Linked DNA regions of Elephas maximus indicus. The protein of the gene in region 1 purifies or fractionates together with the protein of each later gene. This does not show direct contact. Links are inferred from orthologs where the notes say so. Each region holds a gene or a part of one and is shown in the gene's direction. Other genes may lie near its edges.

Region 1 (6,985 bases):
GAAGAAGGGAAAATGGTGGCTTAGCTCCTTCCATTCGCCATCTAGCGGCTGGCTGCCCGTCTCACTCTGTTATGGATTGAATTGTGTCCCCCGAAAATATGTGTCCACTTGGCTAGGGTAGGATTCCCATTATTGTCCTCCAGTCTGCCATCTTGATCTTGATTTTCCCATGTGTTGTAAATCCTACCTCTATGATGTTAATGAGGTGGAATTAGTGGCAGTTATGTTAATGAGGCAGGACTCAATCTACAAGATCAGGTTGCTTTTTAAGTCAATCTCTTTTGAGATATAAAAGAGAGAAGTGAGCAGGGAGACATGGGTACCTTAAACCATCAAGAAACAAGAGCCAGGAAGATAGTGTGTCCTTTGAGCCCAGAGTCCCTGTGCTGAGAAGCTCCTTCACCAGTGAAGACTGATGACACGGATCTGTCCCCAGAGCTGAGTGAGAGACAAAACCTTCCTTTGGAGCTGGTACCCTGAATTCAAACTTCTAGCCTCTTAGACTGTGAGAGAATACATTTCTCTTTGTCAAAGCCATCCACTTGTGGTATTTCTGTACTAACAGCATTAGATGACGAAGATACCACCTGACATGCTATATGTAATTGTTAGCTGATTGTCTCTCTCCTCGGCAACATTTAAGCTCCAAGACAACATGGAATGTTTCTTCACTGCTGTATTCCCACATTGGCACGTTAAAAAAACCAAAGCAAACCCGTTGCCGTCAAGTAGATTCTGACTCATAGTGACCCTATAGGACAGAGTAGAACTGACCCATAGAGTTTCCAGGAAGTAGCTGGTGGATTCGAACTGCCAACCTTTTGGTTAGCTGTGGATCTCTTAACCACTGTGCCACCAGAGCACATAGTAAAAAAAAAACACAAACCAAATCCATTTCTGTCCAGTTGATTCCGACTCATAGCGACCCTATAGGACAGAGTAGAACTGCCCCATAGAGTTTCCAAGGAGTGCCTGGTGGATTAGAACTGCTGACCTTTTGATTAGCGGCAATAGCACTTAATCACTATGCTAACTGGATTTCCAGGGCACATAGTAGGTTCTCAATAAATATTTGTTGACTGCCGGGTCCTTCTTCCTAGGCTGTCATAGTTTGGAAGTTCAGCTGAAACCTGTCCTCCACGGGTAACCCTGCTGGTATCTGAATACTGGTGGCATAGCTTCCAGCATCACAGCAACACGTAAGCCCCCACAGTACAAGAAACTGACAGACATGTGAGGGAACGGCACTTCAAAACCCTCTCATTCAACAAATATTTATTGAGAACCTACTATGTGCCCTGGAAACCCTGGCAGCATAGTAGTTAAGTGCTATTGCCACTAACCACTCGTCTATGCCAAGAAATATGTAAGACAGCTTCCTGGCCAACTGACTGGAAGAGATCCATATTTATGCCTATTCCCAAGAAAGGTGATCCAACTGAATGCAGAAATTATAGAACAATATCATTAATATCACAGCAAGCAAAATTTTGCTGAAGATCATTCAAAAGTGGCTGCAGCAGTGTATCAACAGGGAACTGCCAGAAATTCAGGCTGGTTTCAGAAGACATGGAACCAGGGATATCACTGCTGATGTCACATGGATCCTGGCTGAAAGCAGAGAGTATCAAAAGGATGTTTACCTGTGTTTTATTGACTATGCAAAGGCATTCAATAACAAATTATGGATAACATTGTCAAGAATGGGAATTCTAGAACACTTAATTGTGCTCATGAGGAACCTTTACATAGACCAAGAGGCAGTCGTTTGGACAGAACAAGGGGATACTGATTGGTTTAAAGTCAGGAAAGGTGTACATCAGGGTTGTATCTTTTCACCATACTTATTTAATTTGTATGCTGAGCAAATAATCTGAGAAGCTGGACTAGACTAAGAAGAATGGGGCATAAGGATTGGAGGAGGATTTATTAACAACCTGGGTTATGCAGACAATACAACCTTGCTCGCTGAATGTGAAAAGAACTTTAAGCACTTCATAAGGAAGGTCAAAGACCACAGTCTTCAGTAGGGATTGCACCTTGACATAAAGAAAACAAAAATCCTCACAACTGGACCAGTGAGCAACATCATGATAAATGGAGAAAAGATTGAAGTTATCGAGGATTTCATTTTACTTGGATCCACAATCAACACCCACAGAAGCAGCAGTGGAGAAATCAAATGACGCATCGCGTTAGGTAAATCTGCTGCAAAGGACCTCTTTAAAGTGTTGAAAAGCAAAGATATTCTTCTCTTTGCCTTGAAGAATAAGGTGCACCTAACCCAAGCCATGGTATTTTCAATCACATCATATGCATGTGAAAGCTGGACAATGAACAAGGAAGAGGGAAGAATTGACGCCTTTGAATTGCGGTGTTGGTGAATATTGAATATACCATGGACTGCCAAAAGAACGAACAAACCTGTATTGGAAGAAGTACAGCCAGAATGCTCCTTAGAAGCAGGCCTGGGGAGACTGTGTCTTACACACTTTGGACGTGCTGTCAGGCGGGATCAGTTCCTGGAGAAGGACGTCACGCTTGGCAAAGTACAGGGTCAGTAGAAAAGAGGAAGACCCTCAGTGAGGTGGATGACACACTGGCTTCAACAATGAGCTCAAGCATAACAACGATTTTAGGGTGGCTCAGGACCAGGCAGTGTTTCGTGCTGTTGTGCACAGGGTTGCTATGAGTCAGAACTGACTCGAAGGCACTTAACAACAAATTCTCTTCTCTAAATTTCTGTACTGCCTGTCTATAATATTCTTGTGGGATTTATCTCTGTGGACTGTGACCTTCCTGAGGACAGGGGCCTAGGAAAGGGTTTGGCTCATGGTAATAGTTGCTGTCATTTGTGCAACACTTTACAGTCCTCTCACATGTGACCTGATTTGATTCTCAACAAAGAGCCAGCAAGGCAGGGGGAGGGGTATTATTAGCAGGACTAGCATTCCTGGTCTCTTGCCTTCCAGACCAAGCTTAACAAATATTTGTTGAAGGAGGAGATTTAAAAAAAAGAATTCCTGAGTTACTCTGTGGAGTGAGGCAGCCTTATCAGGCAATGGGTTGGTTCTTTGTAGCACATCTGAAGGTACTCGTAACACCTCACATTTACGGAGCCCAGTTTTCTCTTGACCTGTATCGTCCTCACAACTACCCTGTAGTAGGCAGCTATGAAGGCAGTGACCTTCATGTCTGATTCACCTGTCAGTTATCTTTTGGTGCCTAAAAGAGGGCCTGGTATATGGCAGGTATGCAATAAATGGTGTGACTGGAGGCTCTTTTTTAGAGACCGGGCTCAGGTGCAGTGGCTTGCTCCAAGACCCACACGTAGCCAGGAGTGGCGGGGCAGGGCTGAGATTACACCCCGGGTTCCATCCAGAGCCCAAGCTCGTAGCCACCGCTCCTCCTAAAACTCTCTCTCGGGGTTGGGCTGCCCCTGAGTCGGCACCAGTTCCGGGTCCATCGCAGGCGTGAGCGATGCACGCAGTGGGTCGGGGAGGGCTGTCCCCTCCCAAGTCCAGCGCCTTCCGCATCTCCGCCCGGGACGCCCGCGGGCACGGCTCCTCTGCTGCCACCCGCTTCTGCAGGCAGGCACAGAGCCATCCGCTTCGGCCTGCAGCTCGCCGAAGGACCCCCCCTAGCCTGGCCCCGGCGCCAGCCCCAACCCCAGCCCCAGCCCCCACCCCGCCTACTTAGCCGGCTCGGCCACCGCGCCCCGCCCCGCCGCGCAGGCCCCGCCCCTTACTTCCCCATTCGACGCCCCTCCCTCCGCGCCGCGCTCCATACTTGGCGATCGCAGCGGCCCTGCGCGTTCATTGGCCGAGACCTGGCTGCGTGGGGGGCGGGCCCGGCCCGGGGCCGGGGCGGGGAAGGAAGGTGGCGGCGGCCCGGCGCGGGGGGAGGGGGCGCTGACCCGGATGTTCACTCCTGGGCACCCGGGGAAGTGGAAGCGCCGGGCCCTACTGCGGGGGGGAGAGCCAGAAACGCCGGGACCGGGACCGCTGCCGCCGCCGCCGCCACCATGGTAAAGGCTCGACGTCACCCTCCTCCAGCCCCGGGGGCCCCGCCGGCACTCGCGTTCCCCTCCCCCCGCGGACCCCCGGCCAGTGAAGGGTGGGTTCCCGGGGGTGGGGGAGGGGCGGGGTCCTGGGCTGTAGGCAGACACCATCCTTCCCCGCTCAGGAGGGGGCCGCTGGCCCGGGCGGCTTGGGTGGTCAGTGACCCTGTCTCTCCCTCTCTGCTCCCGCCCTTGGCTCAAGCTGGAGCCCCACTCTCCACCTCTGGGTCAGGCTAGTCTCCCCCATAGCCCAGGCTAGACCCCCCTTCATCCGTGGTCCAGGCCAGGCACCCCCTCCAGTGTCCCAGGCGTGGTCCTTCTTTCCCTCCCCTTGGCCCGGGCTAGGTACTCCTTTCCTCACTTACGGCCCATACTAGGCCCCTGCTCCCCACTGCACTCTGTTCCCCTCTCCATGGTCCCGGCCTGGAGCTCCGTCACTTCCCACCTCCCGCCTGTGGCCTTAGCTCAGATTTGTTCCCCCTCTCCTCCATGGTCTCATTCTGAACCTTCTTTCCTCTCCCGTAGCCTTAAGTCTGGACCTCCCCTCCTTCATGGACTCCGCCTGGACCGTACCTCCCATTTATGCCACCCTTCCCCTCTTGCTGCCGGTCTTAGCGCAGCCTGGGCCTGCGCTCTCCAACTTTACTCTGCCACCAGGGCCCTGCTCCCTGCCCTGCCCCTTGACCCAGTGGCTCACTCCCCCATGCCTAGAGCGAACCTTCCCAGCTGTCTCTCTTCTGGCATGGGAGCGAGGGGAGCTCTCAAACCAGGGTGGTGGTGGTACCAGTGCTGTGCCTTCTCAGGTTGAGGGTTGCCCCTTCTGGGGAGGCCGCCTGGGAGCGAGCAAGGGAAGGGCGGGCATCTGTGTGCCCGGAAGGCAGCGCAGCGCGTTGTGGGCCATCCCCACCCTTCGTGCAGCGGGTGCGGTGCCTGAGGAGTGTCCTGCGGGGCGCCGGGTTCCCACGGAGTGAGAGCATGAGTGGGAGGGGAGGGCTGAGTGTAGGGGAGCTGACAGGACAGAGATGAGCACACAATTGCCCTTGTGAGGCCTTAGCCTTTGGGGGGCCGCTAGGACCTGAGCCCCACATAAGGCCTGGACACGATGCACCCTAGCAGGCGCAGCCTCCCTTTCCCCCTGAACTGTCAGCTTGTGAGGGTTGGAACTGCTGATTATGGAGGTGCCTCGGATCAGGTGAGCTAGATGGAGCTGGAGAGAACTCCACTCGTGGTGGTTGTTTTGGTAATGAAGGCAGGTGCTGCTGTCTGGCTGATTTGACAGGCCTGGGGTTTCACACAGGTCCCTAGGGGCCCTCAGATGGGAGTCTCCCCACTCCACTTTGGAACCTTATGTAGGGCAGGCCCAGCATCCAGGCTGGAAGGGCCAGAGGGTTTCTGCTCCACATAGTCAGAGAACCTGCGCAGATGGGGCTGACTGAGCTGAGCCCATCCACCTGCTGCATCAGGGCCCTGCTGTGGGGTTCCTCTCACCCAGTGCAGGGCGAATGCTTGTGTCTGGACTTTGGGCCCCAAGGGGTTTGAGGATCCTGGTTCCTTGTTTAATCAAGGGATGTTGCTGCTGAATTAGGGTGACTAATTCAGCTTGGCCAAGGATTTTCTTCCTGCATTCCTGTATACGGATTAAAAACATGGCCGGTGTCATTTTTAATGCCACTGAACTTCTCCTGTAGCTCTGACCCAGAGCTGGCTGCATGGGAGGTGAACCTAGCCCTGGGCCTGGGTGGGCAAGGATTTCTCCAGGACAGTTTTGGGGTGAGGAGTTTCAAAGCAGACTGAAGTTTTGTAAGTGTGCTCCCAGGGCAAAAGCAGGAGAGGGTAGATGGAGCGTCAAGTGGAGAGGTGGGGCTACAGAGGCAGCCTATCAGGCCCCGGGAGGGAGGGGCATCTGGCCTTGGCCTCCTGGGTGCCTGATTTTGATGGGATTTGATGGGGTAGTGCCTATAATGACCCAGGAGGAGCGTGACAGCACAACAGGCTCCTGAAGAGTTCTGTATTTGGCTCTCATTTGGACAATCTGAAAAGACTATGGAAGAGATGAGAGAAAAGGACTAATGTTTATTGGGGGCCTACTGGGTACCAGACATCATGCTGCTTGCCTCACTTATATGAACCTGTGTAATCCACACAGCGCCCTTTGGGGTAGTTGCTGTCCCATTTTACAGGTGAAGAAACTGAGGCTTGGGGGTAAAGTAACTTATTCAAGGTGTTGCCTGGTCAGTGGAAAAGCCACGGGCAGTCAGAGGAAGCGCATCTGGCAAGCTCCAAACTGAGTTCCTCCCATTGCACCAGGCTGCCTATGTGAAACATATAAATGGCACTGTTTAAAAACCCTAACAATGGGATACCCAGAGATGGGAAGGGAGGAGTAGTATTTATTGACTACCGACTGTGTGCTAGGTCCTTTGCATAGAAGATCTTATTTAATAGTATGGCAATGCAGATACATTTAGCTTGGGCAAGAATGTGAGGTCTTTGAGGGCAGTGATTTTTGTCTTGTGTTTTCCATAGCTATATCTCCAGGGCCTAGGATGGCATCTGGCACTGAAGCAAATGTCTTGCAGTGCTGTGTTTTGGAATGTGTCTGTGTCCATGAACTTGGTCTCTTGACTTTCACACGGATTCTCGTATCTTGTTTTTAGTATCCCCTAGGCTTGTAAATAATTTCTTGATTATTGTCCGTTTTTATGCCCTGCTTAAATACCCTGACTAATAAACCAGGGTAGACACCTGGGTTAGCACGGAAGTGGTGGCGTGGGGTTGCATCATAGATAAATGTCTTAAGACCATGGAAGTTTATATTTTTACTAGATTTGACAGTAAAGAAAACAGCTAGATCTCAGTTTTCCATGGGGGGACATAGCAGTTTGGTAATCTGAAATGCATTTGACTTTGGAATGAATTCCATGA
Region 2 (7,510 bases), on another chromosome or scaffold:
TTGCCTTAAATAGAAAATAACAGTAAGATTAAATACAATGAATATTTTTAAAATCTATTACTGCTGCTACTGTTGTGACTAGTGGTCTAAGCTTGAGACTGTTTTCTCTCTCTTAAATTTGGAGGTGAGCAGGTAATGGAGATGTAGGTGTTAAAGGCAAAGAAGCACCAAGCCAAGACTGTCTTGGGACGTCAACAGAAGACTCCCATGAGAATGAGAAAGAAAACAGCTGCACCCAATGTCATTCAAGGCTGAGCCTGGATATCAAGGCATCCTCACGGTTACCTAACACCATCCTGTGTCCCACATGGGCTGCCTCCCACATCAGAGGAATCCAGCACTATCCCAATCTGCCTTGTCTGTGCCAGGTGTGAGTAGGTTCTGTGAAGGGAAACTCAGAGAGGAGGGGTTTATGCCTTGGATAGGATGGGGGCAGGGCTGTAAATCTTGCAATGGGAAGACACTTGGGCTCATATCTCATACACGGTGTTATGATCGGGTAAATTGCTGAGGAAGGTTGGACGTCACTTTGGGCTGGAAAATCAGCATATGCTTCCTGGAGAAGGTGACATTTAAGCTGTCCTAAAAGGATAGGTATGTTCCTGGGTGTGGCAAACGTTTAAGCGCTTGACTGCTAACCGAAAGGTTGAAGGTTCAAGTCCACCCAGAGGTACTATAGAAGAAAGGTCTGGTGATCTACTTCTGAAAAATTAGCCATTGGAGACCGTAAGGAGCAGGGTCCTACTTTGACACATATGGGGTCTCCATGAGTCAGAATCTATATGATGGTAAGTTTTTTTTTTTTTATAAGGATGGGTGGGATTTGGGCATATGGAAATTGTGGTGTGGGCAAAGGGCTACCCACAAAGAAGAAACAGGATGAAAAACACACTAAAATCCTGGGACCCATTTGGGAAATTGGGTGTGTGTTCAGGGCCTACCGTGTAGACCAGGATTAGGTTTTGGGGGAGAGAGGACTTGGATACCTTGTCCAAGGCAATGGGCAATGGGAGCCATTGATGGTTTTAGAGGTGGGGAGTGATGTGATGAGACAGGCTTTGAGCTCTGCACATAAGGCAGTTCTTGGGCCAACAGAAGCTAATTCCTTCAGAAATTCATTTGCACTTGAAGGGAATTATTTCTTTCTGGAATGCAATATGCCCTTTTTAGACTCCCTAAAGGGAGAGCATGTTGTATTCACCTGTTACTGAGCCAAGCATTGTACCTGGCATACAGCAGGTGCTTACAGACTGTGTGTTGAATTGAGTTTAGGGGTTGAGTTCCACCTGCAGTGAACATCAGTTCCTGGCTGGTCTTCCTTCTGGCTCGCTCTTCCAACGCCAGACCTGTCCAGGGACTCTGGGCTGGCCCCAAACTTACTCTTTCTGTGAGCTACTCTAATTGGCCTTGGAAGCCTTGTGGTCAAGTTTATTATGATCATGCCATAAACCAGGGCCAGTAAAGTTTCAAGGGAAGACAAGGCCAGCCAAGTGTCCTGGTTTATTGCTCACGAGACACCTTTATTGGGTCTGCCCCAGGGGAGAGGTTGAGAACTCTGGCCTCCGAAGCTTTGAGTTGAGTCAGCATGGGACGTGCTTCCTTTAGGTGCAAAGGTCCATTCGGGATATAACAAAAACTTTTTAAAAAGTTGTACACCCTTGAACCAGCGAGCTCACTTCTAGGCAATGTTTATCTTGAGAAAATAATTACATGTGGATGTTCACTGCAGTGTTGGTTATAATGGTGAATAATTCAGAACAATTTAAAGATCCAGTACTAAAACAAACAAACAAAAAAAACCCAAATTCGTTGCCATCCATTTGATTCCGACTCATAATGACCCTATGGGACAAAGTAGAACTGCCCCAGAGGGTTTCCAAGGAGCGGCTGGTGGATTTGAGCTGCCTACTTTTTTTTTTCACCTTTTGTTTAGCAGCCGTAGCTCTTAACTACTGCATCATCAGGGCCCTGATCCTGTACTAGAGGGTAGGTGATTTGTGTAATTGATGTCGTTGTTAGGTGCCATTGGGTCAATTCCAACTCATAGTGACCCCATGTGACAGAGTAGAACTGCCGCATAGGGTTTTCTAGGCTATAATCTTTACGGGAGTAGATCTCCCAGGACTTTCTCCTGTGGAGCTGCTGGGGGGGTTCGAACTGACAACCCTTTGGTTAGCAGCTGAGTGCTTAACAGTTGCGCCAACAGGCCACCTTCCTATGCAATTGTCTCTAATATACCCACTCCTCGCTTAATTTTTTTTTTTCTTCACTTATTGACAGTTTTAGTTAGGTTCAAAAGACCAGGTTGTTAAGTGGAAACCAACGTTATATGAAAATGGAGGATGACTATATCATTACATAACTGCCAAATTTCATCATTACATAACTGCCAAGCCACTGAGAATCATGGCCCAGCCAAGCCGACACATAACCTTAACCCTCATACCCAGCATTACTCTTGCTTCATACCTTGGTGTTCGTTACTGCCAGACATACATTGTTGATGCACAAAATAGATAGTAGATTTTTTACTATTGGAAATGCAAAATGTCAGATAACAAGATAGTCAGTTAGCGAAGAGTCAGTGTAGAGTCCTATATAAGCATTAGAGTCTGTTGTATAGCTATTGACATGAAGGATGTTCATGATATATATTTAAAAATAAAATAAAAAGAGTATATGGTCTAATTCTATTTTAGTTTTGGCAGAAAGTTCCCATTTACATTGGCAGATGTCCCGGTTGACATATATCAGAATGGTAATAGTGGTTGTTGGCTCTGGATGGTGGGATTTAGGGTTATTAAAAAAACTTTTGTTCATATGTATTTCTGTATTTTAAAATTTTTTTGTACTTACCATGTAGGGCAATTGAAGAGGCCTAGTGAAGCTACAGAGTCGCTATGAGCAGAATCAACATGAAAGCAAAGGGTTTTTTGTTGTTGTTGTTTAGTGAAGGGGTGGAGTCCTGGTGGCTCAATGGTTAAGCACTTGGATGCCAACCTAAACGTTGGCAGTTCGAACCCACCATCCTATCTGCAGGAGACCAAAAACCAAAACCAAACCCAGTGCCGTTGAGTCAATTCCAACTCATAGCGATCCTATAGGACAGAGTAGAACTGCCCCCATAGAATTTCCAAGGAGTGCCTGGTGGATTCGAACTGCTGACCGTTTGGTTAGCAGCCGTAGCACTTAACCACTACGCCACCAGGGTTTCCTCTGCAGAAGAGACCTGAAAATCTGCTGCAAATATTACAGCGTAGGAAACCCTAGGGGTCAGTTCTACTCTGTCCTATAGTTTCGTTGTGAGTCGGAAGTGACTTGATGGCACACAACAACAGCAGTGAAGGGGTGGGTCTCAGCCAGAATACTGTAAGGGCTTTGGATGCATAGGAGTCCCTGGGTAGTGTAAATGGTTAACACAGTTGGCTGCTAACCAGAAGGTTGGTGGTTCGAGTCCACCAAGGTACCTCAGAAGAAAGGCCTGGCAATCTACTTCAGAAAAATCAGCCATTGAAAACACTATGGAGCACAGTTCTACTCTGACATACATGGAATTGCTGTGAGTCAGAATCAACTCTACGACAACTGATTTTAGATAAAAAGGGGGCTGTCACGTCCTTGAGGAAGTCTAGTCTCTTAGGCAACTGAGTTCTCCACAACTTAGCACCAGGGTCGGCAAACTTTTCTGTAATTATCTGCCAGAGAAAAACTAATTTTTATTATAAATACTTTAGGCTTTTTATTATAAATAAGTATTTTAGGCTTTATGGGTCGTATGGTCACTGTCACAAATGCTCAACCCTGTTGTAGTACCTTGAAAGCAGCCACAGACAGTGCACAAATAAATGAGTGAGGCTGTGTTTCAATAAAACTTCATTTACAAAAATAGGAAATGGGCCAGATTTGGCCTGTGGGCCACAGTTTGCCAATCCCTGATCTAGAAAAAAACAGTAACAAAAAAGCAGCTTGATTTTCTTAGTGAGTGCTCCAGCCAGTTCAAAAACAGCATAAACAGTAGGAAGGGGCACACCAATGAAAACTGAAAAGGCGGATGTTTAAAGAGATCTTGGCAAAAAGATAATGTTGTCACCTTCCTCTTCCAAATGGGTGGTTGCACCTGGGAAAAGGGCATTGGGCCGAAGCAATCTGGATTTTGCTTTGGCATTTCTAAAATGCAAAAATCTTGTTTAAAAAGCACCTGTTGAACCCAGTGTTCCCCCAAATCTCTTAACCATAGGACCCATTTGTGGGTGTGAATGTGACCTACCCACCTCTTTTTCCTTGGGGAAAAGCCACCTCCAGCTGTCCCTGTGGATTCTAGAAGTCTGAAATGTCAGAGGTGTGCTGAGCTTGAATGAGGAGGCCGTTTACCTGAAATTAAAAACCAAAAAAAAAAAAAAAAAAGCCTTTGCGGTTGAATCGATTCTGCCTCATGGCGACCCCATGTGTTACAGAGTAGAACTGTGCTCCATAGGGTTTTCAGTGGCTGTAATCTTGACAGGAGAAGCCCCGGTGGTGCAGTGGTTAAGCACTCGGCTGCTAACTGAAAGGTTGCCGGTTCAAACCCATTAGCCGCTCTGAGGGATAAACATGTGTCAGTCTACTTCTGTAGAGATTTACAGCCTTGGAAACCCTATGGGGCAGTCCCACCCTCTCCTGCAGGGTTGCTATGTGTTGAAATCAACTGGACGGCAATGGGTTCTTTTTTAAAATCTTTACAGAAGCAGATCGCCAGACCTTTCTTCTGCCGTGCTGCTGAATGGGTTTAAACCACCATCCGTTTGGTTAGCAGTCGGGTGCAAACGGTTTGTGCTGTGCTGAAATCAAGACTATGCTAATTAAGGCAATTCTTAACAGAAGTATTAAAACTCAGGAAGAAACTTGGCTCTCACCACTTCTCCTGCCGGCAAAGGAATTTCATTTAGTCTCTCAGCAAACCTTTTTGAGCACCAGCTGTTTATAAGGAATCATGAAGGATGTAGAAGATTTAGTTGTGTCTCAGAATACAGAAAGTGGGACTCCAGAGCCTGGCTCAGAGCCATAGTAGATAGATAGAATACAAAGCACATAGTAGTATATAGTAGGTACTCAATAATTGTGTATTGGAATGAATGAAGAAATGAAGAAATGACCTAGGACCACTGCCATGGGGACAGAGAGGATGCACTCCAACAGCATTTGACATTTCGGTGGGGCACTTCCCATGAGTGGCAGGGTGGCGGGGCAGCAGAGTCATATCTAAAGGATGGCAGGTATGGCATATGCCTTGGGCTCCACTTGAAGGGGAAGCGCCAGTGAGCAGTTTAATTTGGCCTTCACGGTTTCTACTGCCAGCTGTGAGAGATCATTCAGCAATTTAAAACTAATTGCCGTAGGCCTACTTTTCATAGATGTGCTTCTGTTTAGACCCATCTGTGGCCGCTGGGCGGACAGACCATACGCGTGTACTGCAGCCCTGCTCTTGTAGAAGGACAAGCACATGGGTTTTGCCTGTCCACTCTTGCCCCTTCACACAGTGCACCCCACGGGATAGATTTGCAGATTTAAGGGCTGAGGTCACATTCCAGAAGGTGCTGGAAGGTGTCAGGATAGGCCCACACCCATCACCAGATGGTGGCATTCCCAGGGTATGGTACCCGGAGATGACTGAGTGAATGGTTGCCGAGCGCCCAGATCGGATCTAAGGCTGTAATTATGAAAGATCGTCAGCAGCTGTTCGAATGAATCAAAGCCTCCCAGTCTGGGAGAAAAGCTGCCAGACTGCTAGGTTTTGAATGGAAGTGCTTCCCTTGCCTTCTACCTCTGTGGGCCTCTCGGATTTCCTAGGAGACTGTGAGCTCCGTGGCTGTTGCCCTCAGCACCCAGCACCCAACCTGGCATTTGACAGGTAGGCAATCCGTGTTTGTGGAAGGAGCATTGGAAGGATGGACAGGTGAATACTTTCAAATGTCTCCTGTCTGATTTCAGTAACTGTTGCTCTTGGCGACTCCCTTCCCAGGAAAATGGTTTTCTCTGCATGAAATTGCAGGAAATGGGAATTTCAAAGTTTACAAATCAATTTAGGGAGATCGAGCTTGAGGACTTGGCGGGTTCAGCAGCAGCAGAGAAAGACCCATTGCTACTGTCACTGCTTGAGGTCAGACTGATGTAGTCTCGTTCTTTACTGATGTCCGCTACGGCTTCCTGGCCTTCCAGGTGGACACCTTGCTTCCTGTCTGCTGCCCATTGCTGACCTCCGTAATAAATGTTAAAAAATAATACAATTAGAGATTGCTCAGATCAGTTTCCCTTCTTTCTTCAGCCAGTCCCAGGGAGCTCTTGTTTACCTTGCTTTGGCCATGTTGTTGTGCCGTCAGTGCCATCGGTTTGGTTCCAATCTGTGGTGACCCCGTGTGTTACAGAGCAGAACTGTTCCATAGCAGTTTCTTGTCTGTAATCTTTATGGGAGCAGATTGCCAGGCCTTTCTTTCATAGCACTGCTGGGTGGGTTTGAACCACCAACTGTTCGGTTACCAACCAACTGCAAACCATTTGTGCCACCTAGGGCCCATGGCTTCAGACATAGTGCTCAGCTAATTTAGAAAGAGTGAATGAGGCTACCCCAGGAATAGCAAGCAGCTGGCCTCTGTGTGCCTGGGCTTCTGAAATGTTTTGGAAGAGACCCACGTCTCTTAAATCAAGCATAGCATATGTGATCCATTTAAAGTGAGGTTTAAAGCCTATATTTAAATTGGTTGCCTTTTACAACAGGTTAAGTAAAAATCGGAGAATCGAGGGCTTCTGGGTTTGGGAAGGACTTGAAAATATTATTTAGCCATCCACTATCATAGCTTAGAAACTCTTTTACCTTCGTTCATTGATGTATTAATTAATTCACCGCACCATTCATCAAACCATATTGACATATCAGGCATTTGCCAGGCATTTAAAATTAAAACTGGCGAGGAAGCACAGGATATTAAACAGATTACAGACAACAGAGGCACTACTCTGGTAAAGAGAAGTGCCTACCAAGAACCTTGCTTTCTCTTCTCTCTCGTCTTGCCCTTCCCTGTGGGATGGCCCCTAAGGCAGATCCAAGGAAGCCAACCCATTGCCATCAAGTTGATTCCGACTCACAGCAACCCTATAAGACAGAGTAGAACTGCCCCATAGAGTTTCCAAGGGTGTAATCTTTATGGAAGCAGACAACCACATCTTTCTCCCATGGTGGGCCTGTGTGTGTGTGAGCGAGAGGGGTGTTCCAGAGAGCAGGCGCAGCCCGTGCAAGGCCCTGCAGAGGTGTTTGAGGACATACTGCTGCTGCTGCTGTTGTTAGTTGCTATCAAGTCAATTCCTACTAATGGCCCCCCACGTGTGCAGAGCAGAACTGTGCTCTGTAAGGTTTTCAGTGGTTGTGACCTTTTGGAAGGAGATTTCCAGGCCTTTCTTCTGAGGCTCTTCTGGGTAGGTTCGAGCCACCAACCCTTTGGCTAGTAGTAGAGTGCTTAACCATTTGCACCACCCGGGA

Evidence for each region. The genes of interacting proteins can lie anywhere in the genome.
Region 2: the proteins of CAPZB (region 1) and KIAA1671 purify together in Homo sapiens (co-immunoprecipitation; 3 studies listed by BioGRID and IntAct, with this or other methods). This does not show direct contact. The link is inferred for Elephas maximus indicus from reciprocal best matches to the Homo sapiens genes CAPZB and KIAA1671.

Annotation. Positions count from the first base shown.
Region 1 is NC_064821.1:59,057,061-59,064,045, reverse strand, and holds the start of CAPZB (F-actin-capping protein subunit beta), read left to right. Parts: upstream 1-3,921; 5' UTR 3,922-4,024; coding exon 4,025-4,027; intron 4,028-6,985. UniProt on the Homo sapiens protein: F-actin-capping proteins bind in a Ca(2+)-independent manner to the fast growing ends of actin filaments (barbed end) thereby blocking the exchange of subunits at these ends.
Region 2 is NC_064840.1:31,707,327-31,714,836, reverse strand, and holds the start of KIAA1671 (uncharacterized protein KIAA1671 homolog), read left to right. Parts: upstream 1-4,439; 5' UTR 4,440-7,510.